Pelodiscus sinensis: one gene and its partners. The protein of the gene in region 2 purifies or fractionates together with the protein of the main gene of each other region. This does not show direct contact. Links are inferred from orthologs where the notes say so. Each region holds a gene or a part of one and is shown on either strand. Other genes may lie near its edges. The genes, in order: PSMG3, PSMB7, PSME3IP1 and PSME4.

What was found.
Region 1: the proteins of PSMB7 (region 2) and PSMG3 purify together in Homo sapiens (affinity purification with mass spectrometry; 3 studies listed by BioGRID and IntAct, counting the BioPlex papers as one, with this or other methods). This does not show direct contact. The link is inferred for Pelodiscus sinensis from reciprocal best matches to the Homo sapiens genes PSMB7 and PSMG3.
Region 3: the proteins of PSMB7 (region 2) and PSME3IP1 purify together in Homo sapiens (co-immunoprecipitation; 3 studies listed by BioGRID and IntAct, with this or other methods). This does not show direct contact. The link is inferred for Pelodiscus sinensis from reciprocal best matches to the Homo sapiens genes PSMB7 and PSME3IP1.
Region 4: the proteins of PSMB7 (region 2) and PSME4 purify together in Homo sapiens (affinity purification with mass spectrometry; 3 studies listed by BioGRID and IntAct, counting the BioPlex papers as one, with this or other methods). This does not show direct contact. The link is inferred for Pelodiscus sinensis from reciprocal best matches to the Homo sapiens genes PSMB7 and PSME4.

Annotation. Positions count from the first base shown.
Region 1 is NC_134726.1:27,444,432-27,451,953, reverse strand, and holds the start of PSMG3 (proteasome assembly chaperone 3), read left to right. Parts: upstream 1-4,504; 5' UTR 4,505-4,636; intron 4,637-4,810; exon of another isoform or gene 4,811-4,925; intron 4,926-5,135; exon of another isoform or gene 5,136-5,269; intron 5,270-6,123; 5' UTR 6,124-6,140; coding exon 6,141-6,356; intron 6,357-7,522. UniProt on the Homo sapiens protein: Chaperone protein which promotes assembly of the 20S proteasome. May cooperate with PSMG1-PSMG2 heterodimers to orchestrate the correct assembly of proteasomes.
Region 2 is NC_134732.1:24,377,607-24,384,508, reverse strand, and holds the start of PSMB7 (proteasome subunit beta type-7), read left to right. Parts: upstream 1-3,898; 5' UTR 3,899-3,993; coding exon 3,994-4,055; intron 4,056-4,440; coding exon 4,441-4,534; intron 4,535-5,566; coding exon 5,567-5,664; intron 5,665-6,306; coding exon 6,307-6,447; intron 6,448-6,890; coding exon 6,891-6,902. UniProt on the Homo sapiens protein: Component of the 20S core proteasome complex involved in the proteolytic degradation of most intracellular proteins. This complex plays numerous essential roles within the cell by associating with different regulatory particles.
Region 3 is NC_134722.1:43,288,255-43,295,646, forward strand, and holds the start of PSME3IP1 (PSME3-interacting protein), read left to right. Parts: upstream 1-4,389; 5' UTR 4,390-4,543; intron 4,544-7,392. UniProt on the Homo sapiens protein: Promotes the association of the proteasome activator complex subunit PSME3 with the 20S proteasome and regulates its activity.
Region 4 is NC_134713.1:175,089,697-175,096,881, reverse strand, and holds the start of PSME4 (proteasome activator complex subunit 4), read left to right. Parts: upstream 1-4,181; 5' UTR 4,182-4,253; coding exon 4,254-4,462; intron 4,463-7,185. UniProt on the Homo sapiens protein: Associated component of the proteasome that specifically recognizes acetylated histones and promotes ATP- and ubiquitin-independent degradation of core histones during spermatogenesis and DNA damage response.

The DNA of each region.
Region 1 (7,522 bases), on a different chromosome or scaffold from region 2:
GTGCATGTTTTCATGTCTCCCTGGAGTGGCTGGCTCATATGAAGTATAAGAACCCTTGTTATTGACAGATATTTTGGATAAATGACAGGAGATTATGGGGTTTTGGTGCTTAAGATGCAGGTTCAAACATCTGCTGGTGTCTGCCTGTATGTTACACTCGGAGACGGTCCATAGACCCATGACAGGGTGGAATTAGCATTTGATTCAAAGGATAAAAGTCTCCTACTTCCTAAAGTCATATTTGTCACTCAGATGAAGGTAGGAGTGGTTTCCCTATGGCCTGAGATCAAATGGAGCCTTCTGTGCTCCAGTCATGTACAAAGGGAACGGGAGGTTAGCAGGGATACAGCAATAGGATGCCTTTCTTTTCATAAGATGGAATTCTCCGCAAAGGTAGATATAGTGGAAATTCAACAGGAAGACTTATTGACAGCAGCTGCCACTATCTCAGTCACACAGGCAACCCCTTGAATGCTTGTAGTAAGCAGGAGAGAAATATTGGTTCTTCACAGGGAGGGAAAACGGGATTTGCCAGATGACAAGAAGGGGTGATGATAAGGTATCAAGTCTCCCAGTTCTGTCTTGTTCAGAGATTTTCCATGGAACTCTGTTGCCCTCTGGAGGTTTATTAATGCACTCGCAGCACTATGACTAGCAGTTAACTTCATTTAAAGTCAGTTAAACTTTTCATGCAAAAACAATTCAGAACACTAAGTCTTTACAAATGTTTGGACAGGTGATCCAAAATTCAGAATCTTTGTTGTCAAGGGTGGTTTGTGTGGTAGAAGGGTAAGATGTGAGGGGGAAATTGAAATAAAGGTTTGGGAGACACTTAGCATTATATAATTTAGTATTACACTGGATATTCTTTAAGAAATCATATTTTTAGGGATGTATCTAGGCCAAAAATATTACTCTGGGATGAGCAAAGGTCAAGAATTTTGGAAAAACAAAAACAAACTAAAGTTTTTAAGATGGTTATTACAGATGTATTAACTTTTTAATATTTCTTTTCTTTTCTTTTCTTTTCTTTTCTTTTCTTTTCTTTTCTTTTCTTTTCTTTTCTTTTCTTTTCTTTTCTTTTCTTTTCTTTTCTTTTCTTTTCTTTTCTCAACATCAAGGCTACATCTACACTGGCAGCTTCTTCCGGATGAACAGCCATTCTTCCACAAAAACTTGATGGCTGTCTACACTGCACGAGTGTTCTTCCAGAAGTAAATTTACAGTATAGCGTTGTAAAACAGGGCTTCTTCTGGAAGAGTTATTCCTCTCCCCACGAGGAATAAGCCCTCTTGCGCAAGAGCTCGTCCAGAAGAGGGCAATGTAGACAGGCAACATGAATTTCTTGTGCAAGAAGCCCCTATGGTTAAAATGGACATCAGAGCTTTCTTGCGGAAGAGAGCGTCTACACTGGCATGGATGCTCTTGCGCAAAAGCACATCTCTTGCGCAAAAGCACATGCCAGTGCAGACGCTCTCTTCTGGAAGAGTTTTTGCACAAGAACTCTTCCGCAAAAGAGTTTTTCCGGAAGAAGCTGCCAGTGTAGACGTAGCCCGAATGAATGGCTGTCTTCTGTCATGAAATCTGTGTGTGGTAGCTGTCAATCAATAAAAACACTCCCATTCTTACATAGTGCTTTTCATCAGTAGATCTCAAAGCCCTTTACAAAAATTAAATCGTATATCCCCATTTTGCAGATGAAGAAACCAAGGTACAAAGTGTTGAAGTAAGTTGCCCAAGGTCATCTATCAGGCCTAAAAAAAGACCCAGTCCAGTGCTGTATCCTTTAGCAAAATGCAGGACAATGTAGCACTTTAAAGACTAACAAGATGGTTTATTAGATGATGAGCTTTCATGGGCCAGACCCACTTCCTCAGATCAAATAGTGGAAGAAAATAGTCACAACCATATATACCAAAGGATACAATTAAAAAAATGAACACACATGAAAAGGACAAATCACATTTCAGAACAGGAGGGGGATGCGGGGGGGGGGGGGGAGGAAGGAAGGTAAGTGTCTGTGAATTGATGATATTAGAAGTGGGGAGAGGGGATGTTTGTGAGCTAATGGTATTAGAGGTGATAATTGGGGAAGCTATCTTGGTAATGGGTAAGGTAGTTTGAGTGTTTGTTCATTCCTTCTCGGAGAGTGTCGAATTTTAACATGAATGACAGTTCAGAGGATTCCCTTTCAAGTGCAGATGTAAAAGGTCTTTGTAGCAGAATGCAGGTGGTTAAGTCATTGAGAGAGTGTCCTTTCTGGTTAAAATAGCAAGAAACTGTTTTTTCTTTGTGATCTTGTATCCTTTAGGATATTCTGCCACTCTGTACAAGCTACTTTACAGTTTTGATTGAAACATGAATTAGGGCACATGAAGAAAAATGTGGGACTACTGAAAAGGATGTAACTGTTTGCATTATAGGTTCATACACTGACCCTTAAGTACTATGATATTACAAATAAATTACAATAATATTAGCCATGCTGTCCACCATAACAAACGAAAAGGCAAGATTTATCCAATTTGCAGCCTGATCCTTCACTCTGCCCAGCATCATATATATCAAAATATTCCCGAAGAGTTTAATGGCCAAAAGAAAGTCCCCACCATCCAGCATGATCTCAATGACTCATTCAAGTCTACAGGAAACAGTCAAGGATGAAAACACTATGGAGCATGCATCTTACAACCAAAATTCCCTTCCACTCAAATGTGACAAGCCAGGTTTTGAGTTCTCTCTTGTTTGCCAATTTTAATCATACCTTTAAAATTTTAGGTGCCTTTAAAATTTGAGAGAAAAGCCTGGGATGCTCAGAACCCTATGTGGAAACAGGAAATCCAGCCATTGCCAAATTGCTCTGCTCTGCTTTGAGGCTAAGATTCACCTTATCCCAACCTCCATCTCTCCACAAAGACCTTCACATTCTGGTCACAGATGGGAAGCTGTGATTCTTTGGAGACAGAGGATGAGTCTTCTGCAGCATGAACTTTGCTCTAGCTGGTGAATAGATGGAAAAAACACAAGAGAACAATTAAAGAATTTAAATCATGCAGAAGATGGCACAAAAGGAAGTCAAGGCCATTTCAGAATGCCCTTGGAGTTTATACAGCCAATACTTTAGAGATGTTTAAATGACTAGGAACATCAGCATTTCAAGAGTTGGGTCAGGGCAACTATGCCAGTTTGCCAGGCTAGAAAGCAGGCTCTGACAGTTCCTATCACACTTCTAGGCTATGTCTACACTCGCGGCTTCTTGCGCAAGAAGTCGCCAGTGTAGACAAAGCCTTAGAGGGAATGCTTTCAATACTAAAAACTGAAAAGGCGCTATGCCTATTTTGCAGAGGGATTGAGTCTGTTGACTTAATAGAGACCTCTTCCTTCTCACCACCCTCTCTCATACGGATTGGGCAAGAGCCAGAGATGGGTCTGTCAGGTTTGCGAGGGTTCCTCCCATTTGCTGAATACGGAGAGGTCTACCATGCTGTGTTGGTTTTGGGGGAGCAAGGAAGGAGCTGACTGGAAAGGGGCTGACCTAGTTCAGTGTATGTGTGGTAGGGATGTGAGGGTATGTTTACACTACCCCGCTAATTCGAACTAGCGGGGTACTGTAGGCATACCACAATTGCAAATGAAGCCCGGGAATTTCAAATCCCGGGCTTCATTTGCAATTGCGGTATGACTACATTACCCCGCTAGTTCGAATTAGTGGGGTAGTGTAGACATACCCTAAGAGTTTAACTGGTTAACCAATAAGGTGATGCTTATCTGTTCCTGTTAACAGTTAAACTCTGCTAGGGAGCATAGGGCTGACAGCCCATGAGGCTGGCAGCCAGTAGTGCTGAGGGCCAGCAAAGGTGAATCCATGGGGCTGGAAGTCCTCAAGACCAGTGGGGCAGGGAGCCCATGGGGCCAGTCGCCGAAGACTATGGAGTCAGAAGCCTGTGGAGCCAGCAGCCAGGAGCCTTCCAGCACCCTTCCTTCCCTACATCCCCAGGTAAAATGTTTAACTGTACAATCAATAGAATTTTGATTGGTTACATGGTTACTATGTTTTTATATCCCTAGTGTGTGGAGGGTTGTAGTGGTATGAAGTGTGTTGAGTTTGAAAGGGGCATTTCCCACTCAGTGAGGCCAGGGAGAATGGGGTAAGCTGGATATAGGGGGAACTTCCCCAGTGTGTGATTCTGAGGGAACCTGGAGGGTATGCGGAGTGCAGGGGTCTCCCATTCTATGGGGATAGCAGGCGTGTGGGAAGTAGGGTGTGGAGGGGAATTTCCTTCTCTGCAAGGTTGGGAGAGATAAATGTGGGAGACAGGGTGAGCTGGGTGCATGGAGATCTTCCCCACTCTGTGGGGCCAGAGAGGAATGATACCGGAAGGAACAGGGTGCAGGGCTAGGATCCCCACAGGGTAGGGCCAGGCCTGGAGGGGGGGCATCCCATGCTCATTGTGGCCAGGATGCAGGAGGGACTGGACAGGATACTGGGAGCTCCCTGCTCAGAAGGGCCCAGATGCAGGAGGAGTTCCCCGCTTGGTGGGGCTAGAGCCGTGCAGGGGTGGACACCCAGCGTGGTAACGCCAGCGGGGGGGCGCCTTGCCTGGAGAGGCTTGGGAAAAGGGGGCATCTCTACTAGGTGAGGCCAGGAGGTTGTGGGGATACGGTGGGAACAGAAGGGGGGGCGGGCTTCCCCGTGGGGCCCGCGGACGTGCAGGGAGAACTCCCCGCTCTGAGGGTGCAGAGGAGGCTCCCGGCTCAGTGGAGCCTGAGGGGTGCAGGGACGGAGGCGGGGGCGCCGGGTTTCCCCTGGGCCCGGAGGGAGCGCGGGGGGCGGGGACGCCCATGCGGGGCGGGCTCAGTGACTCGGCGGCGGCGCAGAGCGGACGCGGCGGGCAGGAGCGCGGAGGACGCGGCGGCATTGCCGGGTGAGGCCGGGCGGACAGGCCCTGCTCTCGCTCGCCCCCTTCTCCCGGGCTGGTCTCGCCTACCTGCCGGCCGCGCTATAGCGCCCGGCTTCCTGGGCCCGGCTCCCGCTGCCGGCGAGCCCCTGCGGGCGGGGGGCTGCAGCGGGGTGGGCTCGTGGCGTGACTCTGAGCCTGCCCGTGCCCTGCTGCGTGGGTTTATGGGGGGGGGGGGGGGATCCGAGGGCTGCCAACTTTGCCGACCGGGCACCTTTTGCAGCAATGGCGTCCGGTCCGTTCGGTCGGGAAAGTTGGCAACCGAAAGCCGGGCCTAATCTGAAGTTGGGATCTTGTTTGCTCCCCTGACGGTAAGGCCGTGGCCAACTGGGGGCGTGCAATGAGTGTGAGGGGCGCTAAGTGATCCACCAAAGTCCTCCCCCTGGATTTAGTTTGTAGGGGAAGATACAAATATTGGGTTACAAAATGGGAATCGCTGACTTGGGAATGCCAGATGCCAACTCAGGGGTGCCCTTAAGTACAAGACAGATGGTTCTACTAGCCCCGTTTTATCCCAATCCTCGACATTTGGGCTGGGAAGTTGGGCAAAATGGTTCTGGATTTGGGTCCTCTGGAGCAAAACCATGCTCTAGTGCAGTGTTTCCCAAATGGTGTTCCGCGGAAGTGAAAATATGGGTTCCGCGAGAAAATTCCATTACAATAACTACTCAGCACTGTGTGCCAGACAGTCAGTGGTGCAGTTGCCTGTTATATATCACGTAAGGGGTTCTGCAAAATTCTTTCGAGTTTAAAAGGGTTCCGTGGCCAAATAACATTGGGAAACACCGCTCTAGTGGGATCCAGGAGACCTGGCCTTTGGGCGTCAGGATGCAGGACTGGTAGGACTGTATAATCTGTTGCATGTGACACAATAACAGTTTCAAGCAGTGTGAAACTATGAATGGCATAAAAGCCTGTAAATAGCAACATGTGTGTGTAGCCTAAGTTACTAAAGAGGGTAATGTCAATTCACTTCTGAGTCAGATACACTCAGACATCACATGTTCATGATTATTTATATACAGCTGCACCAGTTGCTTACATCTATGGGCATATTTATGCCATTAAAACAACACTGATATTTTAAATTTAATTAAAATATTGAGCCTTTTTATGACTCTTAGTTAATGTTTTATATCTAATACTAGTATATTATTTTACTCAGCATTTAAGACGTCTGCCATGGCAGCAAAATCTATTGTGACTTCAAAGCAGAAGGAGGAGGTGGTGAGGGGTATCCTAACAGAGGTGGTATGCACGGCCTTCTCCAACTCCATTCTTGTGGTGGTGACGCAGTATGGGAAGATGGGGACGCTTGTCTCTGTGGACCCCAGCACAGTAGCCAGTGATATCAGCAAACCGTCACTCACCACGAAAGTGCTGCTGGGCACGGATGAGGTATGTGGCCCTGAATATTGAGGGGGAATCTCTCACTGGCTCAGAATTTGAGCCTGCTTGGGCTGCCAAGCAGCTGATGTGCAGTTGTGCAGTGGTAAGATTAAAAAATCCTGTACTAAGAGGGGTGTAGTTCATCAGTACATTTTGGGTATTCATGTTAAAGGTATGTTTAACATAACAAATGTCTAATTAAATCTACACTGAAAGCGTATAAGGGTTCTGTCACTTCATACTCGGTTATTTTTATGGAGCTTTGCCATTCCCATTGACTTCAGTGGTGCTGGAACAAACATAATGGCCTTCACTATCCTTTCTCCAGTGCTTGTCACAGTATTTTTCCCCCATCCGAGCACTTTTTCTCCCCACTTTTACCTCTTCCAAAATCAACTTTGGTACCCCTTCCCTCAACTGTGCTTACCACCAGTTTCCTTAGATAAGACAGTTATCCAATTCATTTTAATTTAAAATGAGTTCTCAATTACTATTTTTCAGAAACAAGAGAAAACAATAATAAATTTTGGATCAGATAGGCACTAAATACAAAGTTACAGTATACTGCAAGTTTACCTAGTTTTACAGTGCTGTAGTAGAACTATCTAGTGTTGCTTGCTAATCCCAAACAGAAAAAAAACCAAACTCAGCAATGTGACAGGTTGCTCATCCTCTTAGCAGCTGGTCTTTGTGTAGCCCTCACCCTTCAATAATAAGCTCTCTTTCCTTCATGTGGGATGTGTCTGCCTGTAGACAGGATGGTTACAGCGTTGGTGTGATGTGCGCTTGTCAACATGGAACAGAAAAGCATATTCAGTTTCTGATACTTATGTTAATCAGTGGCACTTCCTGTTTACATATGGGAGAAATTATTTCCCCAGATCTTGCGTAGGTGTCCATTGTCTGCTTCTTTGTATTATATGTTAATTAATGTAAACAACCTTGAGGAAATACTTCCAGCCCAGCCTTTTTTGGTGATGCATGCTGCCAAAAACCGCAAATCAGTTCTGAAACAAACTCAAACAAAAATAAACTTTAGATCAATATATGTGGCAAGATGGATGTGCCAAAAGGCATATTTTTAGAGAAGCCCTAATTAAAAGGGGTTATATCCCTTCTTTCCTGCTAATGCTTCACTTTTTAAAAAAATTACATTAGTCTATAAAATCACCCTG
Region 2 (6,902 bases):
CACAACTACACTCTCACAAACTACTCTACTGTCTCTTCTCTTCAAAAGGCCTCTGGGGGCTATTTTGCTTGATGTATTCCAGCTGGATTAATAACCCCAGCTGGTCTTCCTCAAACCAACAGCAGTATCAAAAATTCAACAGCTGGTGATGGGTTAAAGCAGCATGAGGTGAGTAATCACAATGATAGTTAATGTCTTGGAAGTCATAAGCCTGGATTCTGCAAAGACTTGCTTAGCTTTATGCACAGAATAGTTACAATGATTTCAATTGGACTATTTGCAGTGAGTGGGCAAGTTTTTTCACAGGATCAGGGTTTAATGCTTAATGAAGTTTACTCTATTCTATGGCTGTGTCTAGACTGGCCAGTTATTCCGGAAAAACAGCTGCTTTTCTGGAAAAACTTGCCAGCTGTCTACACTGGCCGCTTGAATTTCCGCAAAAGCACTGACTTCCTACTGTAAGAAATCAGTGCTTCTTGCGGAAATACTATTCTGCTCCCGTTCAGGCAAAAGTCCCTTTTGCACAAAGCTTTTGCGCAAAAGGGCCAGTGTAGACAGCTCAGATTTGTTTTCTGCAAAAAAGGCCCGATTGGAAAAATGGCGATCGGGGCTTTTTTGCGGAAAAGCACGTCTAGATTGGCACGGACGCTTTTCTGCAAACAGTGCTTTTGCGGAAAAGCGTCCGTGCCAATCTAGACGCTCTGTTCCGAAAATGCTTTTAACGGAAAACTTTTCAGTTAAAAGCATTTCTGGAAAATCATGCCAATCTAGATGCAGCCAGTGGTTTTCATGTGTCTATGCTGTGTGCTCTCATTTTAGAGTTAGACTGTCCCTAGAAGAAGGTCCATAGCCCCCGCTGATCACGTGTTTCCCTTTACAATTTCAGCTTTCTCTTGGTTTTTCCTATATTTTTTAACATGAGTGAGGACTTTTTTAAATAGATAGACCACTTCCCCTTCTCCATATATATAGGAAGCTAGCACCATAGGGCTGGAAGGGACCTCTTGGGTCATCCAGTCCTCTGCTATTGCAGGCAAACCCCATCATATTATCTCATTCAAAAATGTATTTAATTTAGTGATGAAGACACAGTTGTTTTCCTTCCCACCCTAGAAATGGCAACTGGTGGCTGCTGAGGCCAGAAGTATAAAAGGCTGGGCTCAGAGCTCAAAGTTCTGCTGCCGAGCAGGCCAGATGCTCAGCCCAAGCTCCAGTGGAGAAAGGTCCAAAGTGAGAGGAAGGTGAGATTGTGTGAAAAATAGGATCAGATGATGATGAGCAGGAGATAGCGGAAAGAGGCAAGAAGCAGGGGGAACAAAACGTTGAAGTCTATTCAAATAAACCAGGCTAATGGTGCACATCCATGATTGGCGAGCATTGTACTGGTTTAAAATGATGTTTCTTGTTGGTACATCTCCAAAATCACCCTGCTTTCTTCCCTTTACTTCTGTTCCAGTGCTCCCTGTAAGCTGAGTGCTACCCAGGAGAGATTCAGGTGCCACCCAGCTGATTAGCAGGCATGCATTTTTATTGGTGGTGCACATCTGCACCTTGGTGCACATAACAAAATTTATTCCAGGGATGGATGGAAACAAAATTTATCCTGTACATGGATGTAAAAAATTAGAGGGAACGTTGTTTGGATCCCTCACTATCAAAGGCCTTATGTGATGGTGGCCAAACCTTTGCTCTGGGGTCTCTCTCTCACATTGAAACCTTCACCTATTTAAAGCAGAATGCACTGGTCACATAGCGTTCCAGTGAGATAACCTATGGTCTTTCACACATGATCCTGCTCACAACTCAACAGGACCAGTTTCTGTGGGAAGATTTGCAAGTTAGGTCCCAATCCTGCCAACATAGAATCATAGAATACTAGAACTAGAAGGGACCTTGAGGGGTCATCGAGTCCAGTCCCCCGCCCTCATGGTAGGACCAAGCATCATCTAGATCGGTGTTTCTTAAACTTTTTAAGACCGAGGAACACCAAACAATTTTTTTTTTTAAATGGGGAACACCAAGGATTTCTTTGTTAAGGAAAAAAAAAAAAAAGCCCCCAGGGAAAAGTTGTTGAGAAAAAAAAAAAGAGGCTTGTCCCTTTGCATTCTGTTCTCTCTGCAGCACACCTCCGACTGCCTCACAGCACACCAGTGTGCCGCAGAATGCACTTTAGGAAATGCTGGTCTAGATCATCCATGATAGATGTCTATCTAACCTGCTCTTAAATATCTCCAGTGATGGAGCTTCTACAACCTCCCTAAGCAATTTATTCCAGTGATGGATGCAGGCACTTAATTTTACTACCATAAACCAATCCCATTGATTTTAATGAGGCCACTCAGGGTAACGAAGCTAAGCACTAGCAGGGATCAGAGTGTTAGTCTGTAACATATCACACCTATCACAGGCATACATCTCAGATGACATTTCTTGGGAAAATGTCTTATCTGTTATTGGTTGTGGGTTTTTGTTTTTGGAGTTGGAATAATGCATGATCAGGGCTCGACAAACTGTGGTGAGAACTACTCACCAGCCCCGTACCATGTATGCACCAGATTGGCACTGTGCATGCGCCGGAGCGACCGGCTGAAATCTACAAACAGCGGTTTGTTGAGCCCTGCGCATGATTGATGTATTCAATGACTTTCATCTTTTCTCCCTTCTAGTTCTCTTCTCCTCTCCCACAAGTCTATAAACCCGTGGTGTGCAACACGCTAGCCATTAGCCACGTGTGGCTATTTGGCCAGTCAAGTGTGGCTAGGTGGCTTTACATTTTTTAGATTTACAGTTTCAGAATAATGTGGCTAGTTTGCCATAGCAGTAGCTGCTATACTGGCTACTGCTCCAGAACTAGTTGGACACCATGGCCATAAACGGACTGAAATTTTCTCAAATATACTTATCACTCTTGGTCTACCATGCATGGAAAAGTGTTACACTGAGACCCTTTGGCAAGCAAAATGTGGGCTGTGTTGACTGGAGGAAGCCACATGAGCTGCCACTGGCTCCTTAATGCAGAGCTGGGGAAACATTTTTGGGTCAGGGACTGCTGACCCACTAAAAAAATCAGTTGGGGGTGGCACACAAGTGAGAAGCAAAACCCACCTCATTGATGTGGACTGAGGTTCCCTACATTCCCCTCGCACTCCAGAACCTGGCGTGGAGTGGGGGGGGGGGGGGGGGCTAGCAGATTTTGTTAGGGACGTGAAGGACTAGTTGACTATCTGCTAAGCAAATACTTATTGAATACTCAACAGGCAAGGTGATTAGTCGTTTCCCTGCAGCGGGGGAGGGGGTACTTCGAAGCAGCAGTGCCATGTGGAGCCTGGGGCCAGACCATGGGCTCCCTGCAGCACTGCTGCTTTAAAATCCCGTGAAAAGCCCAGTGGGGGGTGTGGGATGGAGGGGAGCTGGGGTGGGATGTGCTGGAGAGGGTGGAGGGGAATTGGGGTGTGTGTATGTGAGGGGGTGGGGTGGAGTTAGAGGGTGGTGAGGGGTGGGGGGGTTGGGTGGTGTGTGTGGGGGGGGAGTGGGGTGGCGGTGGTGGGGGGAGTTGGAGGAGTCTGGGGGGGTTGGTGTGTGGGGGGGGAAGCTGGGGGGTCTGGGGGGAGGGAGTTGGGGGGTGTTTGGAGGAGAGTGGAGGGGTGGGGGCAGTTGGAGGAGTCTGGGGGGGTTGGTGTGGGGGGGGGAAGCTGCGGGGTCTGGGGGGAGGGAGTTGGGGGTGTTTGGAGGGGTGGGGGGGAGTTGGGGGGGTCTTAGGCTGCCCACCCCGGCTTAGGCCCAAGTAACACCCGGGAGGGGGAGGGGGAGGGGCGGCCCATCTCTCCCGCGCGCCGGACACGCGCCCGGGGACCCGCCCCCAGCTGCGCGAGGGGGCGGGGCCGCCTCAGGCCCGGGGAGGGCGGTGACCCGGAAGCGCCGCGGGTGACCCGGAAGCGGCGGCCCGCGCTCGCTGAGTCACGCGGCGCCCCGGCAGCACCACCCGGCGGCAAGATGGCGGCGGTGTCGGTGCTGCAGGCTCCGAGCGGCGGCTTCGGCTTCGGCAACTGCGCGCGGTGAGGGCCGGGCCGGGCCGGGCCGGGCCCCGTGACTCGGGGGAGGCGGCTGGGGGAGCTCGGCCTGCGGAGCCTGGCACAGCCCGGGGGGGTCAGCCTAGGGCGGGGGGGGGGCAGGTGCGTGTGTGTGTGAGGGAGGGGGGTTGCTGGGGGGCGGGGCCAGGCGTGGGGGGGGTTGAGGGGTTACTAGGGCGGGGCCCAGGTGTGTGTGTGAGGGGGAGGGGGGTTGCTGGGGGTCTGCAGGGGGGAGGGGCCAGCTGTGTCGGGGGAAGGAGAGTGGCTGGGGGGGCGGGCAGTTCAGCCGTAGGCGGGAGGGGATGACAGCCTGGCTTGTGGGGATGCTCTATCTGCCTCATTCTCCCTTTTGGTCCTCTGGTGGTTCCAGGAATGCACTCCTGGATGTAGAGTTTGCCAAGAAAGGTTTTCGGCTCCCTGCAGCCCGGAAGACTGGCACCACAATTGCTGGCGTTGTGTTCAAGGTGAGGCAAAAAAAGGATGATATATAGCATCGTCCGCTTTCGTGACCTGTTGACTGTTCCTTCAGGTGGCAAGAGACATTGTAGCAATGCATACCATATGAAACCTAGGTGGAGAATAACATGAAGTCTTATCTACAGGAGGTCCCTGACTTGCGCTGTGATCGGTTCCAGGGAAGCATCGCAAGTCGGGGGTGTCATAACTCGAACTCTCAATTACAATAGGTGCCGTGCGCCTGTCGTAAATGCGGGCCAAGAATGTAAGTCGGGGGGTTCAGGCCCCTTCCGTACTTACAAAATTGGTTGTAAGTGCAGGGAGTCAGAACTCAGGCGGTCGCATCTCGGGGGGCCTCCTGTATTCAGTTAAGGTCTACTATCCAGACAGTCATCACTTGAAAGTTCCAGAAATGGCCTCCTCAGCTAACATTGCTTGCTGGGCGCGGCATCTTGTCCACTGCCGACTTTGTCATCTCTCTTCACTCAAAAGTAGGGATGTAAAATCCCTTTTAATCAGTTAACCGGTTAAACACTATGTTTAACCAGTTAACTGCTAAAATGGGGGTGGACGTTGGGGCTGGAGCGGCCTTAGGCTGGAGTTCACTCCTCCCTCCATCCCCTGCAGTATGGTGCATCAGTCCTAGCTGGAAGGGCAAGTCCCCGCCTGCATTGGGTAGGTGGCTGCTCCAGCCTGGTGGAGCTGCCAGGTGATGTTTACTAGTTAACCATTCACACATTCCTACTCAAAAACTCTGTTTAGTACACTTGCTCTTTCCTGTTACATTGCTGTATATTTGGTGTTATGGGAACTTGTGTTTAAAAAAAGAAAAGACTCCATCATCATCAATTACAAATTCTTCTACAGCCTAGTCTTTACCATTTTCTCTCTGTGAGGGTACATTATTGTTGTAAGAATTGTAGGCAGTGACAGTGGTTACTGTTATTGAATGAGACAGACTACTCTAAATGAGCAATAAAATAATGCATTTTTTCTAGATCTTGACAAATTTTTGATTAAGTATCTCTTCTTTTCTGTAGGATGGCATAGTCCTTGGAGCAGATACAAGAGCAACTGAGGGGATGGTTGTTGCTGACAAGAACTGTTCAAAAATACACTTCATTTCTCCCAATATCTAGTACGTATTAAAACTGCCAGTGTTACAGAAAGTAAAGTTTAATTTTAGTGTTGATTCTTGTAAACTATGCACCTTATTGCTAATGCCACACAATGAGAACTTTGAAATGGTAGTTAATTTCACCAGTATTGTAGTTTGGTTTTTCTGGTGGTCATTCATGCCAGACAATAAAAATAGGCAAATTTGCATCACAGTTAGTATCCTGTCAGTTTCATTTTTCCTCCTATGCCAGCATAAGGCTGTAATGATTGGGTTGAAATAACTCCAAGAGTGTATCTAAGTAGGAAGCAGTGACACGTCACTCTACAGTTGCTAGTGAAGGACCTTTTTGTGCAGATGCCTGTTAACTCTGAATGCATGTGAGCCGTCTTTGTATACTACAAGGGACAGGAAACTATAACTCTTATTGGATTTGATTAAATCAAAGCAAATTGAGGAGATGATAATAATCTGGCACATTAAATAATTTTAATTTTCCCTGTCTGAATAGCCAGTTTCTACCTTTGTAGTGGCATGGCCTTTTTACACTTCATGGAAGTTTAAAGCCAGTTCTACTTCTAGTGACCAAAAGAACAGGGACGTTAATTAAAAACAAAGGTTTAAGAGTTTTTAACTTGGTAACTTGCCAAAAATGTTTTCCAGTTGTTGTGGTGCTGGGACAGCTGCAGATACTGATATGACAACTCAGCTGATCTCTTCCAATCTTGAGCTCCATTCCTTGTCTACTGGACGGCTTCCGAGAGTTGTCACAGCTAATAGAATGCTCAAACAGATGCTTTTCAGGTAACTCTATGCGTTCACTTTTATGTTAAACACAGACACTGGGTATAACTGGGAAATACGCTCTTTTAAGTTAAATGTTAGTTTACCCTGAAGGAGACTGTGTTCATTATCAGGATTTTATAAACTATTCCCTGGTTCACCTGACCTTAAGGGAATGGGATAGAAATGAATATCTAAATTGTTAGTATATAAAGTAAAAATAACTGTGTGGCTTCAAAACAAAGGGCAGATCAAATAAGGTGGCTGTATTTAATATTGGCTAATGGTTAAGACTGGCATGTTTTTGAAAGATGCACATTTAGATTATTACGCATGGAGAAACAACCTGTTATAATAATGAAAAAATACTTTAGTTTTCAGAATGCATGTATTATGTTAGAGTGAAACACAGTTTATCCTTTTATTCTGAATGCCTGTATTCATGTTTGCACATTGTCCATCAGGTACCAGGGTTA
Region 3 (7,392 bases), on a different chromosome or scaffold from region 2:
CCACATGCAATCAGCCCTACTGCACTGCCACGGCAGCCCCCAGTCCCGCTGCTGGGGCTCTCAGCTTCACCACAGCAAACCACTGCCCTGCCAACGGTGCTTCTGGCACCATCAACCTTGCCATGGCAGCACCGGCCACGCCAACCCCAGTACCACCGCCAGGACCTACCCCACAGCAGCAGACTGCTGCTCAGCCTCCAAGGTTTCCTACCCTGCCAGCCCTACAAGGGCAGCACAAGCTCTTGCTAGCCCTGCTGTGGCAGCCCCCTGGTCCAGCCGGTGGGGCTTCTGGCCCCACCACAGCAGACTGCTGCCCTGACGGAGCCCACTCGCATTCCGGCCACCCTACCACTGGTTTAGCCGGACTCCTGCAGCAGAGCTCCCAGCCCCTGGCTTCCCTGCAGCCAGGTTCCCAACCTCCGCAGAGCTCCTGCCTCTGGTCCTCCACCAAGTCTCTTTGGTTCAACATCATCTGCGGTCAGACTAGACCACAGATGTTGCTGGACCAGGAAGTCCCAGTCGAGAGAGGTTCAGCCTGTTGTAGTAAGGGTAGCAGTTCCATACCCTGTCCTGCAAATTCCTGTATGGGTCAGAACTCCTACAATTACAACCCTGTAAACTTTCAAATTTAAATAGCTATATTCACGAAATGTATTATATTAAAAATCCTATGACCATGAAATTGACTAAAATGGACCGTGAATTTGGTATGACTCTACTAATAGCTGCTAATATTCTGCTAGCCTTTTTAAACACTGCAGTCCTCTGAGCAGAGGTTTCCATAGAATTAGCCAAGATGACCCCAAGATCTCTTTTGTGGATGGTAACAGCAAATTTAGGACACATTTAGTACCTGTGTAGTTGGTATTTCTTCCAGTGTGCATTACTTTGTACACTGAATTTTATTAACCATTTTCTTGTCCAGTCACCCAGTTCTGTGAAATCCTTCTGTAACTCCTCATTGTACCTTGAATAATTCTGTATTGTTTGCCACCTTGGCCCCTTCACAATTCACTCTGTTTCACAGATCAAGAGAACCTTGAGGGACTCTGCTGTTCACCTCTGTCACCGTTGTTAAAAAAAAAAAGTCTTAACATCATACTTTGTTTTTTTCCTGGAGAACTTCTTGGAGATCTCAGGTCTTCTTGTTCATCTCATGAGCTCTTTCTCTCAACATTTAAGCAGCTGTGGTGGCACCATCAAAGATGTAACCAAGATATTAATTCTCCCAAGTGTTTTAGACAATGGAGTTAAAACAGAGGTTTGAACTGAGATTAACACCTAAGAGTCTCTCCTCCCCTCCTTCTTTTATAAGTCATTAGAGATTTAGAGAAAAAAAAAACAAAAAAAAATATTTCTAGCCCTCTCCATAAAACACAAAGCAGTGGGGTAAAAAAGTGCACACTTAATTTCTGATTGCCTTCTGTGACGGGAGTCAGAGAAGGTCAGAGAAGGCAGGAGGGAGACGGGGAGTGGAGCAGAGCGTGGGCGCAGAGGACATGAAAGGAGAAGCGGAGGTAGGAAGCAGCCCAGGATGGGGCTCCTTAGTGTCTCCGCTCTGGGCTGCTTCCAACCTCCGCTTCTCCTTTCACATCCTCTGCCCCCACGCTCTGCTCTCTGCTCCACTCCCCGTCTCCCTCCTGTCTTCTCTGACCTCCTCTGACTCCCGTCCCCCTCCTCTCTCCTCCGCTCTCACCCTTCACTCCTCTGCCCACCACTCTCTTCTAGCTCTCCCCTCTGTTCTCTCCTCTTCTTCTGTTACTCTCCTCCGCCTCTTCTCCCCTCTGCCTTCCCTTTGAATGCAGCGCTCTCTTGCGCCGGTGCCTCTCCCCCTGATGTCAGGGATGTACGCACACTCTGGCCCCGCCCTACACTCACATGTGGCCCCACCCCCGCTTCCATCCCAGGACTCGGCACCCCTGCATGCTGCTCAGCTGGGCGGCCGCATGGGAGCAAGTGGCACAGACCGCTGTCAGAACGCTGCGCTGCCCGTGCAGCGGGGTGGGTCGGCACCGCTGAAGTGCAGGGCGGGTCGCTCTCACCGCCGTGGGGCAGCTCCGCCCCGTCACAGCTTGCTAGCTGCCAAAATCTACCTGCCATGGGCGAGCAGATTTGTCAAGCCCTGGTTATAGAATACATATAAATTGAAATTTGGCCCATAATCTAACCTTTGTTTAAAGAACAAACAAAAAATCCCCTCAAACCTGGATTGAAATGTTTCCATAATTAATAAAAACTGAAGAGATCCTCTGTAAAATCTACAATTACTGTAGAGTAGTAGTAGCATGGTAATAGAAAATATTATACTGACTAGTTCGTTATATTTCTTGTAGTTTGGAAAAATTATAGAAAATGAAATGCATAGGGTTGCAATGAGTTCTCTGGTATGTATAATATGACAGAACATTTGATTTAATCCATGATTCCTTCTGGGAGCCAGATAAACGCAGAAGGATTTCAAAGCTTGTACTTTTTTATTTTTCAAGTAGGCCTTCAGTTCTCCAAAGCACTGCAGAGCATGTGTTTAAGTTTAAGCACTCTTTAGTGTGCACAAGGTTTATTATGGCTTAGAGTGCCTTGCAGAAACAGGGTCTTGATATTAATATACTACTAAAAAACAAAAAAGTCCTTTTGTGTTTAATAGCCTGTGTGTACACATAAAAATAATTTTAGCCAAGCAAACTGTTCTACTGAAAGCACCAGGACTACTTGTATGAGTAAAGATTATTAATGGGAGTAAGGATACAGCCCAATATATTCGTGGCTCCTGCTCATTTTCGCTCACACAGGCGAACTCTCTGACTTAAATTCTACCTGAGAGAGGACAGCAAAACCTGCCCTCAATAATGGAGATCCAGATAGGCCAAAAGGTCACAACTGCACGTATAATATAGAGACCTTTTGGCCTATCCGGAACTCCATTACCTTAAAGTTAGTCCACTTTCCGTTCTACTTCAGAGCATTCTTTTACAAATACAGGCAGTCCCCGGGTTACGTACAAGATAGGGACTGTAGGTTTGTTCTTAAGTTGAATTTGTATGTAAGTCGGAACTGGTACATATTGTAGGGGAAACTCTAGCCAAACATTTCTCCAGAGCTCAGTTTTATTCTCCCATACCTCACTTCCCTCAGTCCTTTATTCTCAAGCTGAGGTGTCTGCTGAGAAAAGCCGCTCCACGTCTCCCAAGTCTGCTGGGGGGGAGGGGTGCTAGCTTCACGTCTCCCTGGTCTGCTGGGGGAAAGCAGCTAGTGCAGGGTTTTCTCACCCCGTTTGTAAGTAGGGATCCGATGTAAGTCGGATCCATGTAACCCGGGGACTGCCTGTACTGCCAAGTATCCATCTATAACAGGACCAGAAATCCAGAACACAGGAACCCTTGCCCGTTAGATACAGCCATACCAAAGATCATTTGAAATTATGGGAGTCTAGAAGGGGTGCCCGCAAACTAGAGGACGTCTAACTTGTATGCAACAATCCATCTACCCTTATTTCCATTGTTAGAAATAAAGTAACGGCGCGTAATAAGGCGGTGGCACAGCCTACGCGTTTACAACCGCCACTTAGAGCAAATGCAAATCAGGGATGCCCGCGACTCATCTCGGATCTCTCTCTCTCACGCCCGCAGCATGCCCCGCCAACCAGCCAGCGGCAGGCAAAACGGGGACTAAACGGCCACCAAGGCAAGCAAGCCCCGCCCCCCGCCCCCCCTGCCCGGGCGGGGAACCAGCCTCCAATCGCCCCAGTTCCACAGCAGCAGGTAACGGGACAGAGCCGTGAGCCCCCGAGCCCGCAGCTCCGGCCCACACAGCGGTCCCCGCCCCCAGAGCGCCCGCCGGGGAACCGGGGCAAGCCCACCCCACAGCCACCCGCCTGCCCAGAGCCTCCGGGCCAGACCCACTCACCCGCCTCCCTCCGGTCCCCTCGCGGATCCGCCCAGGGAGCCTCCCTCCCTCAGCCCGGGAGCGCCCCGCCCGCACCGCTGAGGGGTCCCCGCGGCTCGCAGCCCCTCTCCCCTCAGCATCCGCGCGCGGGGCGGGGGCTTCCGGCCCCGACCGGCTCCCCCCTCTTCGCGGTACCTACCGGGGCGGGGCCGCGCGCGTGCCCCGCTCAGGCCGGCGGCCGGGCAGCGCTGCCCCTTTGTGCCATCCAGGCGCGGGGTGGGAAGATGGAGGCGCCAGCCCGACCATTCCGCGCCCCACCCCCGCCCCGTCTCCCGGGCGACTCGCCCAGCCCCTTCCCCCCGCACCAACCAATCCGCCTGCGGGCGCCGAGCACGTGACGCTGCATCCAATCGGGCCGCCCGTCACGGAGCTCGGCCAATGGTCGCTGTGTTGTGGGGACGGCCGAGGGAGTTGAGAGCCGCCGTTGGCTAGTAGTGGCCCTGTGAGCGGAAGAAGGCAAATGATTGGCTGGCTGGGGCGGAGAGGGGCGTGGCTCCGAGGAGGCCGAGGCCCCGCGGGGTCAATGGTGGCTGCTGAGTGGGGAGCGGTGCGCCCGTCGCCGTAGAGGCCCTGCTCTGCGGAGCGCCCGGCCGGCCGGAAGGTGGGTGGGGTCCCGCCGCGGGAGCGGGCTGGGGGCAGACGCTGCGGGGGTCTGGCTTCGGGGGATAAGGCCGGGCTGCTGTAAAAGGGGGGACTAGGGGGAGGCGGGTGGCTGTGGGGGGGGGAGGGGCGTGGGGGTAGGATTGGGGAGGCGGGTGGCTGTGGGGGGGAGGGGCGTGGGGGTAGGATTGGGGAGGCGGGTGGCTGTGGGGGGGAGGGGCGTGGGGGTAGGATTGGGGAGGCGGGTGGCTGTGGGGGGGAGGGGTGTGGGGGTAGCTTTGGGGAGGCGGGTGGCTGTGGGGGGGAGGGGCGTGGGGGTAGCTTTGGGGAGGCGGGTGGCTGTGGGGGGGAGGGGCGTGGGGGTAGCTTTGGGGAGGCGGGTGGCTGTGGGGGGGAGGGGCGTGGGGGTAGGATTGGGGAGGCGGGTGGCTGTGGGGGGAGGGGCGTGGGGGTAGGATTGGGGAGGCGGGTGGCTGTGTGGGGGAGGAGCGTGGGGGTAGGATTGGGGAGGCGGGTGGCTGTGGGGGGGAGGGCTGTGGGGGTAGGATTAGGGGGAGCCTGGGTGGCTGGGGGGGGTTGGATTATGGGGAGATGGTGTCTGTGTGGGGTAGGGTTGTGGGGGTTGGATTAGGAGGACACTGTGGCTGTGTGCAGTAAGGTTGTGACAGTGGGATTAGGGGGAGGCCAAGTGGCTGTGTGGAGTGGGGTTGTGGGGTTTGGATTATGGGGAGATGGTGCCTGTGTGGGGTAGGATTGTGGGGAGGCTGGGTGGCTGTGTGGGGTAGGATTGTGGAGGTAGGATTAGGGGGAAGCTGGCTGCCTGTTGAGTGGTGTTACAGGCAAGGGGTGGTGAGAATAAGGTTACTGATTTTTGTTTGGTGATGTGTGTTGAATCTGGTGCCATTCTGCCTTGGAATCCAGCTCCCTTTGGAATAATTGGCAGGTGAGTTGGGTAAAGGTGATACAGTGTACAGTATGGCTAGGCAAGAACAACTGCCTCTTGGTGTTGATTACAAGCTTCTTCTGTATAAGATCTTCCTCTGGACTCTTTGATGTTTAAACTAGCATTGTTGGGATGCAGCATTAATAGCACTTCAAGATGAGTAGACTAGTTCACAGCTTCAGGCTTGGACAAACATCTCTTTGTTAGTCTGCCCCTCTATCACTTTGTTACACTGTAGGATACTTTGAAGATTTTCAATGAGGATGACAGTTATTTGTTTGTGTTACATTAGCAGCTATAAGTTGTTGATTATGAACTTATTGAACTAAATAGTAGATGCATGTATAGTGAAAACAGTCTCTACTCCATAGAGCTAGCGATGGAAGTAAAGATGAGGGCTATAAGATTTATTTTTTTTAATGAAGGTATTCATTTTGTGGCATCTGATATCAGCCCACATTGGGGGGGGGGGGGGGGGAAGTAATAGTTCATCAAGCCAATAAGAGCTGCCCCAATTGAAGTTCTGTAAAAACATCTGCCTTTCTTCCTCAAGTTGCTTGATGATGGCAGCAGCCTGTTTCAGGTGTTGTTTGTAGACTGGCACCCATTAGACTGTGTATTTGGTCCTTTGTCTCCTCACAAGACCACAGTTTCCAGTGTTTATGTGTAAGAGTCTAGTGAGCTGAGAGCTCTTTCTACCTGCTTACAAAAGCAGAGCATGCTTGGAGGTATGGTGGTTGAATGCTTGTAGGAACTCAACCACTGGCAGTTTGGATATCAATAGTTGGAAGCTGATTAAGTTCTTTGGGGGCATTAGTAAAGTGCCAGGACAGCAACTCCAGAATATCCTCTGCCTCTTGTAGATATTTGGAAAAACTAGAGAGAGAAATGGATGTGGTTCTTGTAGGTTTCAGTGCTACCCAAAGGGTTCTGAAAGGCAATAGCAATACTTATTGAAGAATAAAGGAAAAACTTAAAAAACAACAAATACTCTAGTAGCACTCTAAAGACTAACAAAACATGTAGATGGTATCATGAGCTTTCGTGGGCACAACCTACTTCTTTAGATGACCGGAGTGTTGGAAGTCCAGATTCAAGAATAAATAAGGGAAGGGGGGAGGGGGGGGGAGAAAAAAATACAGTGCGTAGATAAGTTTCAGAGTGATAGTCTGTAACAGGAAAAACTTCAACAACTAGTCTAATAGCATCTGAAAAACTAAATAGTTACAAGAGGCTGATAAGAACCATTAGTTTGCACTTGGAAAGGAAGATGACCAACAGGAGATTATACACAGACATAAATAACCATTAGCACCTTCATTGTTTGGTTGGTTGATAATGTGTGAGCCATCCAATATCCCATTCAAACTAGTAGCATAAGAATTAAATTTGTGAATGAAGTTAAGGTCCAGTCCTTCTCTGTGTATTTGGCTTGTGGAATTGGTCTGAAACAAAACAGCAACTTGGAGATCCATTAATGAGCGTCCAGGAAGATTAAAGTATTCTCCAACAAGTTTTTATGTGTTGCCTTTGCGGATATCTGATTTATGTCCATTAATTCTTTCCTGTAGAGACTGTCCAGTTTGGCCGATATACATTGTAGTGGGGCATTGGGCTACCCCTCTGAAGTTATCAGTCATTTTACTTTTGAACTTGGGAAAAGGTCTGCGAAACTTCAGAGATCCTTAGGCTGTCCACTTTATTAGGGAAGATAACACTTCGCATGGGAGAGTGCAAAGGGTGCCAATGTACCACCCTCCCATGGTCCTCCAAGCTGGCCCAGCTGAGCCACGTGACAGCTCCTGGACCCTCCTCAGCCGAGCTGAGCTGCACAGTGGCTCCCGCCCAGATGAGCTGAGCGCCTGCTCTATTCCCCTTCCCCTCACAGCCCAGCTGAGCTTCACTCT
Region 4 (7,185 bases), on a different chromosome or scaffold from region 2:
TTTTCATATTTACCTTATTCTAGAAAGGGAGATTGAACACTGGACAACACTTTTCTGAAGAGAAAACTGGTTGCTTCAGATTGAGATCACAGTTATGTTTTAGGCTTATGGACAAATTTCCTAAATACAAGGTATTGACAATGCTGGTGTTAGTTAATCTAAGACAGCAAGCCATTCTGCAAAGGAATGTACGAACAGTGGATAATGTGATATAAGCCAATGGTAAAATGTGAGATTTCTCATGAATGGAGAGACTGCATTTCCTTCACAGCTAAAACACTTACTTGGATTCATCATTATTCTCAAGATTTAAAGACAAAGATGACAGGTGGCACTGTATTTAATGTGTTCTCAATTGATATTCCTCCTACTTAATAAAAGCTGTTGATGCAAGCAGTGCAGATGAATCCTCAGCTCAGAATCATATGACTCAGGAACCAAATGTGATTTTATGTGCCAAGAGCAGCCAAGACATACTACAAACCTGAAGCACGGATTTATTTTTGACTCTGTAAAACATTTCTGTAGACTGCATTGTCTTGGTTTTTTTTAAACAGTTTAGTGTCAGCACACTAGAGGTACATCTATACTGCACCCTAATCTCAGGATAAGCTATTCATTTTGAGCTATGCAAATTGCTTAGCTTATTTTGAAATTTGGTGCCATCTACACAGTGCCAAATTTTTAAATAGAGCGCTATTCTGAAACGTTCCTTAATCTGCACGGAACGAGGTTTGCAGTGACGTCAGAATAGCATGCCCGTTATATTTCGAAATAACAGGTTTGCTCAAAAGATGTGGAATAGCTACTTTGGGATATTTCTGGTATCTCGAAATAGCTCCGCAGTGTAGACGTAGCCTAGGGGAAAAATGGTTAAAATTATTTCCTTTTTGGAAAGGAGGTAAATACCAAACAATTACAACAAATGTATTTAAAATGGATAGACCATGCAAAACAGTCTGTCTGATCAATACTATTATTGAAAATATAATACTGAATTATTGTTTTCTAAAACTGCTTGTTTAGCTATTTCAGGTTTTCTGAAAAATATTGATCATAGTTGTGATTGCCAAGAAGGCACTTTTGGGGCTAGCAATGTTTTATATGTTGTGGTACAATAGATAAAGTAATGTTTAATTCTGGTTTCAAAGCTAGCTATGTAGAGTAATATTGCTGATTTGAAGTAACAAAATACAATTTTGAAATTAACTTGAAAACACCTGCCAATAACAAAAATGTAGTCAAAATTATAGTCCAATTACAATCAAAATTGTAAGCAATTAAGCAGGAGCTTTAGGGTACGTCTACACAGCAGCGTTATTTTGTAGTCTGCACTACAAGCAATTATTTTGAAATAATGTCCAGCTGGAGGGCTCCTTACTTCTGACTCATGGTAATCCTCATTTCACAAGTAAAGGAAGTAGAAGGAAGAGTGTTCTTCCTTTGACTTCCTGCTGTGTAGATAGTACCAAAAGCCGAATTAAGCTATTTCGACTTTAGCTACGCAATTGACGTAGCTGAATTTGCGTATTTTAATTTGACTTTAGCCCTGCTGTGTAGACGTGCCCTTAGTAAGCTAGATACATCCTTTTCTAGATCCCTCCCGGGCTCGACAGTCCATTTTCTCTATTGACAACAGAAATGGGACTTTCTTCTCCTACTCTAGCTCGAACTCCCAGCCCAAACTCCCTAAGCAAGTGTGAATGTGAACTCCTTCAGCGGTCCATACTATCCTGTTCAGGCTACCTTCTTTTGGATCAATTATTTCACAAAGCCTCCTAATTTCCTTTGTATTAGGACTTTTTCAACTATCCTTGTATCAGGGCTGCAAGGATCAACTCCAGCTCTCTCTCTCCCCCTGCACGCCCTTAGTACCCTTTCACCAAGAGATCTCAGCTGGAACCACTCAGGAATCCTTACTTTAGGAAGATCTCTTCCAGGTCTTTACTAGGTCAGTGCATCCCAAATAAACTATTTTAAAATTAGGGGGTGTTTTTTTATTATCCTTCCAACTTAGGAGGCTTCCTCTTATAAGAAACACACCCCAATCCTTGTGACACATGATTAGTAGTTACCGGACACAAGCACCTGCCCAAATCCATCACTCGAGCGAAGTTAGACTAAGCCCAACTACCCTTGAAGGGACCAAGTTACTCTGGGTGCATCTACACTGCATTGTAGGTTGAAATAAAATACACAATTTGAGCTACACAAATTGCATATTTTATTTTGAAATAGCTTATTTCAATATTTGGCACCGTCTATACAGCACTTATTTCAAAATAAATCACTATTCTGAAATGTCCTTTACTCCTCATGGAATGAGGTTTACAGCGATGTCAGAATAGTGAGCCCATTATATTTCGAAATAATGGGTGCGCTCAAAAGAAGCAGAACAGCTATTTTGGGATATCTTGGGTATCCCAAAATAGTGCTGCAGTGTAGATGTAGCCTCTGTGACAACACTTACCACAGCAGATCAGTATGTGTAATCCAATTCATTTTATACTAGCCTCATCCAATGCCAGACTTGCTTTTTACTTTTTCTTAATTAAAAAACCCCAACAAAGTTATTTAATTCTCTTTTTGTTTAGAGGGATTTAATCAAAGCCTGAATCTGCAACCTTCTGTGAATCATTACCACACAAACTATTAGTCAGGACTTTTGCACTGTCAGTGAACAGCATTCTGGAAGTAGTGTTTAACGCTTATGAAAGAATGTGCCCTGAGGACACTCTGGCTGAGATAGTCAAAGATGCCTAAAAGATTTGGTTGCCTAATTCCTATTACAATTCATACTTTCTAGGAAATACCAATATTTAATTCTCTTTTAAATCCCAATAATTTCACAGATATTGCAGGACAAATGTGATTTTGGCTCTCACAGCAGGGTAAATTTGCTAAACTTCATTTTGGAAATCCATTAAACCACAAAAAGTGTATTTTGAACATCAGAGGGTGTTATAGGCACTTGGCATTTCTGAAAGTCTTATTCAGAAATGCCAAGTGCCTGTGGGGATGGTTCTCTTTTTCCCCACAATTTCCTTGAGCTCATGGAAACCTTTTGAAATGCTCCACAAGTATTGCTTCAGAGGGAGAACATGTAGAACATATGCCTAGAGGGCCATGAAACTGTAATTGTTGATCAAAGTGCTATGTTGTAAACATGAGGTAAAAATGCACTCAAAACAGGATAACCGGTGTGTACACATAACACCATTGTTTCTTACACTGGTTAAATCCCACCATCAATTCTCTGCTGCACTCACATTTTAGTTGTCTAGTTTGATTGCACCTCGGGGACAACTTCACAGTTTTATTCTGTCTCTTTCTCTCCCCCTCTACTTCTCCATATACACACACTATAGACTGTGAATGGATCATGCAGTCCTACAGTGCTGGTGTTGATTTCTTCAATAGCAAGATTATCCTCAAATTAGAGTAGTTTATATTTAGTTGTGTCTGTAAACTGGTTGGAATTAAACTCTCTTAAAATATACTTTGTGTGATCATTCACAGTCAAAATTCCACCCCCTTGTTCCCTTCAGCTGAGGTAAAATCAGCACAGTTTGTAATTAGGAAAACTATCTTTTGCCTCACTTACCAGAGAGATGAGGGTACCAGGTTTATGGTGTCATTAAGACCACAGTCGGGGGATGCCACAGACGCAAGGGTGTATATTCCTCTCCCACACTCTCTATCAAGGGCTGTCAGAGTAGGACAATTTGATGAAGATTTTTTTAAGTGAAAGTGTCTCATTGAAATGTCGGGCAAAATCCTTATTACAGAGAGACTCTAAATACTGCCAGAATGAACCCAAACCTGACAGAGCTGTAGGGCAGGTCAGTGCCTCAGCCCCGCCTCTCGTATCTCGCTCCAGCTCAGTCCCCGCCACACTCCGCCTCGACACCGGCCTCCCCCTCCCGAGCTCCTTTCAGCTCTTCCCACCTCTTTCCTCAAAGCCTCCCTCGGCTCCCACAGCGCCCGCCCCTCTCCGAGCCTCACTGCCTGCTGCCACCCCCCGCGCTCCCCAGAGAGCCTCTCCCACTCAGCCCCCCCTTCTCTGCCTCCCCCTTTCCGCTCCCCCCGCCCCCGCGCAGGAAGTGACCTGGCCCGAGCGGGAGGCGGCTGTTCGCTCGGTGGTTGGTTGCTTCGTCACCAGGAGCCGCTGTGTGACTCGTTAGGACGGAGCCGGGCGCGGAGGGTGGTGGCAGCGGCAGCGGCAGCGGCAGCGGCGGACGGTGCCGGCGGCCATGGCCGAGGCTGGGAGCGGGCCTCCGGGGGAGGCGCCGGGCTTCGTGCCGCAGAAGGAGATCGCCTACAACAAGTTGCTGCCCTACGCGGACCGGCTGGAGGCCGAGGCCAGCCGCCTGCTGGCCCAGATCAAAGGCAACCTGGGCCGCGCCGTGCAGCTGCAGGAGCTGTGGCCTGGGGGGCTCTTCTGGACCAGGAAACTCTCCACGTGAGTCCTGCGGCCTGGCCGAGGCAGCGTCTCCCTGCGGGGCGCAAGGGCGAGCGGGGCTGGGCCGGGCCGGGCCGCTCGGCCAAAGGGCTGGGTGGTGGGTGAGGCTGTATGTGAACATGCCCCCCCCGAGTGCGTGTGTGTGTGTGTGTGTGTGTACACACCCGCCCTCGGCCCCCCGAGTGCGTGTGGGCGCGAGTGGGTACACACTCGCTGTCAGTCCCCGCGCGAGGGTATCAATGTGTGTTTATGCTTGACTGCGTACACACATGCTGTTGGTCTTCTCCCTCCCCGTGTGTGTGTGTGTGTCTATCCCTACTGTCAGCACCCCAGATTGTGAGTGTGTGATAGTGTCTGTATGCACCCTGCCATTAGTGCCCCTGTACTAACCTCCACCCATCTATGTCTGGTACTCTGCTGTGGACATGCCGACATGTATGCCTGCCATTGGTACCTCTTGGGCATGTGTGTATATGTGCCATTAGTACTCTTGGTGTGTTATTTTGTACTGAAACATGGCATTAGTCCTCCAAGCATGCACATTCCTATACATGCCATTAGTGTGTCATCCCCACTTCTTTGGTTTGTTGATGTGTGTACACATGCCATCAGTATCCTGTGTGTGCGTGTTTATATGTTCACATGCCAATGTTGCATGTGGATACATGTGCCATTGGCACTCCCAGGGTATTTGTGGGCATGCATACCCATCTGTCCTCAGTATCCTGCCCCCCCCCCCCCCACTGTGTGTGTACACACCCACCTTTGGTATCCTTTTGCTGCAAGGAGCATATACACTAGGGATGTTAACATGCAGTTATTTAGGTAAACTTTCAGGCTGTGTCCCCTCTGATATAGTGGCAGCAGCACGTTGGGGGGAGGGGAGGCTGATTATAGCCATTTACACTTTCACATCCCTAGTACACACTTAACCTTGGTATCTCTGCCCTCCCTGAGAATTCATGTAGGCATATGTGTGTATACCTGCCCTGGTATCACTTTTGCCTTTAGGGTCTGTGTGTGCCTGAGTGCACACCCGCCTTTAGTACTCTCCCTGTGGTTATGTTCACCCAAACTTCTTATGCCTTCTTGAATGGTATACTTATATGTGTGTGTGTGTGTGTGTTTTTGTGTGCATGCCAGGTTGCTTTCTATAACTTGCTCCCTAGTGTGTGTTTGCCAGTTGTCCTTTGTATCTGGCTCCCATATGTGTGACCCCAACTGGTGTGGGTGTCTTTTAGACTATATCCCTTTCTTTTCCCAGAGTTTTTGCCTAACATTAATGCTGGGAAAGTATTGGGGGCCAAGGTGTCTAAAGGCTGTGAAGGGTGTGTGTGTCAGTGAAAGCAGCGCAAGCTGTGAGTGGAGGCTCTCTCCTTTAGCATTTGACAGTAGAGAGGCCCCCAACTCCCACACTGTGAGTCTGTCCTGTGTGCATTAAACTCAAGCACTCATTCCTCTCTGCCCTCAACAGCCAGAGGGACCTTTGTCTGGGGCTATTTATAATGGTGACACCAGCAGGAACTGGGACTGAAGCCAGGTTTTAGATTGTTGCAGGTTAAATCCTCTTTTTAAAGTATCCAGAACTGATGTTGGTGCCTTTGGGAGGTGCTGCTCTTGTTTGGGAGAAGCTGGGGAGCTTCTGCTTCTATTTCCACAACTTGTGCAATCTTCACTGTAGGCTCATATTGCAATAAAGACTAGACTTCTATTTCCAGGCTGCCTAGTTCTGTTAGTCTCTGGCCAGGACTACACTAGCAGAGAAAAAAGTTGCAAGATACACAACTCCAGCCATATGAATTGTGTAGTTGGAGTCAGTGTACCTTGCATTGATTTTTCTGAGGCAACCCCACAGTTGAAAGTTGGTGGGAGAAATTCTCTAATTGATTTCCCTCATTCTTCCGAATAGTGAAGAGTACCAAAGATGATGGGGGCTCCTTCAGCATTCAGTTTAAATTTTAGAGGATCTTGAATAGACCTGCTAAATTGAACCCTAGAGGATTGATTTCCAGAGCATCGCTCCTCTGGCAAATGGAGGCGTGGCCTTTGTGAACAGTAATGGGCAAACTAGGCTATGAGTGGGCCGCATGAGTGGCATTTCTTCATCTCAGTGAGTTGCACAATTCTTGTAATCAAGACTGTCTCCCAGGACAGGTTAATTTTATTAACTGCAGCTGTGCTTGCGTACCTAAAATTTGTGGCTGTACCTGTTGAACTCTAGCAGCACTTTGACTGGATGCAGAGGGAGCACATGGCTCTCATAGTCAGTGTTGTGTGCAATCAGCATTCACTCGCTTAACATGCATTTCACTTTAGTAATACTGTTAAATAAAAAAATTACATGGACAGATACCAGCAAAATCTGGCAAACCTGTGCATGGGCAATGGTAAACAAAAGGTCTAGTGGGCCATGCATAGAAAGCAAAGGGCCATCCATAGAACCCATGTGGCTCGCAGGCTGCCCATCACTGCTTTGGAAGGAGGGTATTATTGCCTTTAAAGAAGATAGATACTCACTAAGCCACTTAACTTGTTTTGCCAGAAATTGTACATGACTGCTCCATCTCTCCTGGAAATAAGTTTGTAGTTGTCATTGCTGCCGAGGGTAGCACGCAGATTTTTGTTCAGTGGTTTCTTCTGATGTGTTGCATGTAGATGTGTACTTTGTGGGGAGTGGACTTAGGTAGGGCAGTAGTTCTGCTTTCCAAAGAGAGGTTATATTG